Tribolium castaneum: one gene and its partner. The protein of the gene in region 1 purifies or fractionates together with the protein of each later gene. This does not show direct contact. Links are inferred from orthologs where the notes say so. Each region holds a gene or a part of one and is shown on either strand. Other genes may lie near its edges.

Region 1 (2,947 bases):
TTCTTGTCTTCGCAAGCTTCGCGTTTGTGCTTTTTTTTAATTGGTACAAGTTTTTCATCTTTACATTCTTCCAAATAAATATTTTGAACGTCAATAAATTCACTAGCGCCTTCTTCTTTAGTGCCAATTGTTTCTTCTTGAGTAGGCTCTTCAAAACTTAACGCAGAAGTGATTGCTTCCTTAAGCTTCATTATTATATTCTGGTTTTTTAATTTAGCGTCTGATGCTATTATCAATGTTCTAAATTCAATGCAACTGTTTAGTTTGTGGAGACACTCTTTACACACCGACTGTGGGAAATCATCTTCAGGAGAAATCTGCACAAAAGCATAGCAAATATAAAGGAAACTCACAGAAAAGAATTACTTTAACTTCTGGTGCAAAACTCATTACTGCATCGCAGATAATTTCATTACCTCGTCCAACAAAGCCAGATTCAAAAAGGTTGACAGAGGAGCCCGGTTCAGTTTTAATTAAACAAAAACGACACTTAAAATCCATTTTATCGCAAAAAACCTATCTTTTAAATAGTCGTAAATCTAAGGTTATGATTAAAGTTGTTGATGTTTTTGACTTGTCACCACTATGACGCCGCGAAAAACCCTAGCAAGTTTTAAATTTCTCTTCAAAAGTTAAAAAAACGAACTAATGATAATACTCAAAAAGTATATTTATGCAAAAAACAATTATAATAAATATATACACTTTTTTAATAAATCCCTAGAGGTGGAGGTCCCCCAAAGACACAATTCCACGAACTTGGAAATTTTATCTCCGTCACATTACACTTTGTAAAGCCGTTAACAAACTTGTTCAACACATTTATGCAAGCAATTGCGTCAGGTCTGTTGTCACCCTCTGACACGTATTTGATCAAAACTGTACACTCAAAATTACTCTCCAACACCTCAAATAACTTGACTGCAAACCCAGATCCGTGGACCAAGTATTTGCCGTTAAACTCCACTTCCTTCGGCTTCACGTTTAAGCTTTTCATCACATCGGTAATTTCCTGGTTACTGATGTAGTAGAATTTGTTGCTACTAACCACATGCAACTCGTAGTCAAAAGAACTTGCGAGAATTACAATGCTTTTGATTTTAAACTGCGTGAGGGAGTTTTTCAAGTCTGTGAAGAACTTGGTGGCGAGTTTCGCATTTATGGCTGAACGCAGTTGAATAAGGGCTACTTTTAAATCTTCCTTGATGTATAGTTCGCATGCTGTGCATATTTCGGGCCCGTCTGTTCGATAAGGGTCCGATCCCACGGAGGAAACGATGGCGGGGTGCCAGATAGTGGCCACTTTCTTGAAATTTAGGGATGTTATCAGCAAGTCGATTGTAAGTTGGGGCACATTCCCGACGGAAACACTGGGGATCAGTAAAGTGAAGCCCTCCAAGTTGGGTTTTTGGCTGAATTTAAATAATTCGGCCATAATTATGATGCTCACAAGCCACAAAAATGTTTATTTTGAATAGGAAAAGTAAGGTTAATGACAAGCAAATAATTTTTGACAGTTGACGCTTACAGGCACCTGCATTACCCCATGCGGCCCAAGTTCATTATCATTATTATTTATTTTAAAATTTGCACCCACAATCTTTAAATATTTTTGTTTTCATTTTATTTCTAATCGCTTTATGTAAGCACAAATGTCTTGATAAAAGTGCCTCCTAATATTGGAGGTATCACATGTCTGAGAAAAACAGTCGTGCCACACTTCTACCACCATTAATTGTAAAATTGATAATAAACCATCAATTAAACCATTAATGATCTAGAAACACTCTTATTTAATTCTAATAAATTTTTGAGGTCCTAATTTGTATTAGTTTTCTCCACATAATACAAGTTCATTCTTTAATTTCCCACCACACAAAAACAGCAATAGCAATAAGACTACTGTTGTACTTACCGTAGATACAGATTAAGGCCGTAGGTATAAATTGTGAAAAAATAATAAACACAAACCACAGACCACACACAGAGATTAGAGGTGACACAAACAAGACTTTTCCCACGTTTTAATTTGTGTTGGTTGGTTCCACTGTTCTCAAAACGGCCGGTACATTTCAACCTTGCATTCCAATATTCTCAAAATTTCTGAACTTTCAACATCCTCATCGTGGTACGAATGCAAAATTCGCAAATTATTTTGAGAGGAACGGAATACTTTGAAAATGTTTTAAATACATAATACCATGGGTTGGCAGCGCTCACAGCATGGCCGGTGAATCCTGCACTCCATTGGCCAGTTCAAATCTGGTACAGCCGCTCCACAATTTGTGGGCACCTAACGTTTTTTCTTGGCGGTAAAAACCACTCAAGTGATTTTCTTGCTTATTTTCGTGTAAAAATGTCTCATTTAATGAGAATTTTACGTGCCGATGAGCGCGAGCGCGCATCTCAAGACACCCGAGCCACCAGCACACCTCAGAGTGGGTCCCCCAATGTCTCTTCCCCAAGTATTTCCACCATTTCAAGGGGAGAAGAACCGATGGGAGATGAAAACAACAACGATAATACCACAAGTGGAACTATCGATTACGGAACATCATCTCCGTCCGAATGTAAAGTTTAAAACAAATATATAGTCATAAACATAACTGGTTTGTAGCTCCTTCAGAAGCTTCGATCATTAGAGATCGAACTGTAAAACCTCTCAAATGGGAGAATTTCTGGAGCGCCTTGAAACCAAAAAATGAAGAGAGCCTTTATTTTAAAATAATGACTCAACCTGACCAGTTAGAAGTAAAGGTAACAGTTTTTGTTACACTGACTACATTTTATCGCTTTTAGAGCATCGCAATTGAGCTGATGGACGCCTACAAGTCCAATAAAGAAACTGCTATTATTTCCATTCTCCAGCTTTTTGTCGACCTGAGTGGTTACAAAAAGTTATCAATTGGCGCAGTTTACGATTTTGAGCGGGAAAATGCAAGTCAAG
Region 2 (3,099 bases), on another chromosome or scaffold:
TGGCTCAATAACTGTGGGTGGGGTCCTACTTAACCATTTCTCCATTTGTTGAAACTTACTAATTACCCTGAGGCTGGTATTTTCGGTTTAGTTTCAAAAATGTGTAATTATGCGCTTTTATTGATTTGCCATTCAAAATCTAGTGGAGGTGGGGAACAAAATCATTCATCTCAAAGAAAAAGTAATGATTTGGTTCCTGACCCAGAAACAAACATGCACAAAAAGTCTTACTATAATGATAGAAATTTCTATTATGTACTTAAAAATCACATAAATGCTATTGTAAAGAGTTTATATTTTATATATTTACCAATATTAGAGACTGTTACATTATAGATTTTTAAAACTGTTACTTATGTACTTTATGCTAGTTTTAGAACCGCATAGAAATACATTCCGTCCAAGATGATCTGTGTTTACATATTTTTAAAAATAAAACAATCATGTTTCATATTAGACATTTTTTCTGTTTTCCTCTTATTATTATATTACACCAAGTACTAACCATTTTTCATTACAATTTAAAACAGGTAACACCAGGTAAGAATTAATTTTCATTATTGTATGAATCTAATAATGCTTTCACCGCACTTAAACAATTGTCGCTTCCGTGCTGTAGTGCGATAATGCTTATGCTTTTTTGGCTGCTAACTGTTGGTTTCATTGCATTCTCAAAAAATGTTAATCAGAAGATTGTGTAAAGCATGAACTCATCGTCACAAACGTGACAAGAATTATAATGCATTAAAGACTTAAAAAATTACTTCCCTTTAATGTTTTAAGTGTTTACTAATTATCCCCCCAATTCTTACATTTTTATTTTACAGGACCATGCTTGATTTGCTTCTACATGTCAGATCGTAATGTTCAGGCTCACACTGACGTTAATCCAATGCATTACCCCCTGTAATTCACACTTTCATAAAATCCGTATTGTTACACTGGTTTTTGGTCAAATAAGTTAAAGTATTGTACTATTATTTTATTAAAAATATAGATAACAACGCAATACTGATTATTCTCAACTCCTTAAAGCATTTGCCGACGTTTCCCTAATGGTGGCAATTTGTGAAGCAATATCTTTTTGCAATGCCTCCATTTCATGTTTTAAATTGTTGAGTATGTTAGAACTTTTTTCCAAGTCCTGCGTACCTTTTAGGAACTCCTCGATTCTCTCAAACTTGGTCTCTCTGGGGGGCCTCTCATCCAGACACCAGTACAGCTTACTCCTCTGGTCTTCGACCCTATAAACGGCCTCGATGTCATCAATTACCTGCTGCCGGGTCATGGAGAATTTATTTCTTTGTGGAACTGTGCTACTTCTAAACATTTTTATGATTTTAAGTAGAACAAAACAACGTGCCCCCTTATCACGTGACTTACGTCATTTTGTGCCATGTGACATGCCAACACCATTTTTGGTGCTGTTTTCACCGACATCCAAGTGACAGCTAAAATCCCTAGAATTAAAATTTACGAATCATTTTGCCGACTTGTCTCCCATAAACAAAGCGTAAAATGTCGGTTTTGTGCCCCGAAATTGCGCCCCCAGGTTTTTCATTCGCCAACTGCAAGCGGTAAGTTTACAAAAACGTAATAGTTCCGCTTGTTTGTGAAATTGTGACCCGTGTTTTGCCTTGTCATCAACATAACCTCTTCCAGAAATGCTACCCTCGAAAGTAAAGGCTTTCCGGTGCCCAAAGCCACCAAAACCGGGACCACAATTGTGGGAATCACTTACAAAGACGGGGTGATTCTGGGGGCTGACACCCGAGCCACAGAAGACACCACCGTGTCGGATAAAAACTGCGAAAAAATCCACTACCTCGCCTCCAATATGTAGTAAGTGTTGTTAACTCGACCACCGACGAGGGTTAAATTAATTAAACGTAGTTGTTGCGGGGCTGGGACTGCGGCCGACACGGAACAAACCACCCAAATGATTTCCTCGCAACTCGAGCTGCACCGTTTGTTCACCAATCGAACCCCCCGAGTGGCCACCGCCAACCAAATGCTTAAACAGTACCTCTTCCGCTATCAGGGGTACATTGGCGCAGCCCTAGTTCTTGGGGGAGTGGACGTCACTGGGCCCCACTTGTATTCAATTTACCCGCACGGTTCCACAGATAAACTGCCGTACACTACCATGGGATCAGGCTCTCTTGCCGCAATGGCAGTGTTTGAGTCGCGCTGGAAGCCCGATTTGGACGAAGAGGAAGGGGTCAAGTTGGTACGGGATGCTATCGCCGCTGGTATTTTCAACGATTTGGGGTCGGGGTCTAACGTGGACGTGTGCATAATTCGGAAGGGGTCTGTTGATTATCGCCGCACTTACGACGAGGCCAACAAAAAGGGGGTCCGCCAGTCGTCCTACCAGTACCCCAAAGGGACCACTGCGGTTTTAAAAAGTAAAGTAATCAAGGTTGATGTGGTTGACGTTGCCGTTCATCCCATTGAGGCCGAACAGATGGACACGGCTTAAATCAATTAAATGTTTTTCACATAAATACATTTATTCAGTTCATAATAAAATATATAAAAATGATTAATTTGTTCAATATCAATATGAGTATCAAATTTGCTGTCATGGAACAATTGCTAATTTTTATGAACTATGAAGTCCCAAGTGTCTTTCCATCTCAGATCAATAATGTCATTTGTAGTTAACGGGGTTGTACCATAACACAATACTATAAATTTCATAAAAACGTAAAATATGCAACAAATCCATAAAAATATGAGTAATATAAAAATATACTTTATGACCCTAATTTTAAAAATATCACTAATTGTTGAATAAACGTGTTCAAGCAGGGCCGCTAATAGCAGCGTTTTGAACGTAAATGCGGGCAAATAGTGGTGTAGAAAGAGCGTCCGCTCCACGAAAAAATACGGTAGATAATGGAACAAATAGCCTGTAAAAAATAACTCTCCAATCAACTGAAATTGTTCCCATTTTTTCGTATCAAGGTCGTAACACTGTCTCCGTCGACGAAGAAGATAGAAGACAAGTAGAGTTGAGTAGGTGGCAAGGCCGGCACTTCCGGAATACCAGAGCAAGAGATTTCCAATTAGATGTATTTGCGCCTGTAATTAATC

The links.
Region 2: the proteins of proteasome assembly chaperone 2 (region 1) and proteasome subunit beta type-7 purify together in Homo sapiens (affinity purification with mass spectrometry; 3 studies listed by BioGRID and IntAct, counting the BioPlex papers as one, with this or other methods). This does not show direct contact. The link is inferred for Tribolium castaneum from reciprocal best matches to the Homo sapiens genes PSMG2 and PSMB7.

What each region holds. Positions count from the first base shown.
Region 1 is NC_087394.1:29,413,093-29,416,039, reverse strand, and holds proteasome assembly chaperone 2, read right to left. Parts: upstream 1,537-2,947; 5' UTR 1,436-1,536; coding exon 710-1,435; 3' UTR 650-709; downstream 1-649. Other genes in the region: zinc finger protein OZF, read right to left, coding at 1-317, 367-501; uncharacterized protein LOC100142369, read left to right, coding at 2,357-2,570, 2,618-2,751, 2,800-2,947. UniProt on the Homo sapiens protein: Chaperone protein which promotes assembly of the 20S proteasome as part of a heterodimer with PSMG1.
Region 2 is NC_087398.1:8,316,530-8,319,628, reverse strand, and holds proteasome subunit beta type-7, read left to right. Parts: upstream 1-1,417; 5' UTR 1,418-1,518; coding exon 1,519-1,577; intron 1,578-1,662; coding exon 1,663-1,842; intron 1,843-1,893; coding exon 1,894-2,482; 3' UTR 2,483-2,545; downstream 2,546-3,099. Other genes in the region: uncharacterized protein LOC659493, read left to right, coding at 828-910; rt (protein O-mannosyltransferase 1), read right to left, coding at 2,599-3,087. UniProt on the Homo sapiens protein: Component of the 20S core proteasome complex involved in the proteolytic degradation of most intracellular proteins. This complex plays numerous essential roles within the cell by associating with different regulatory particles.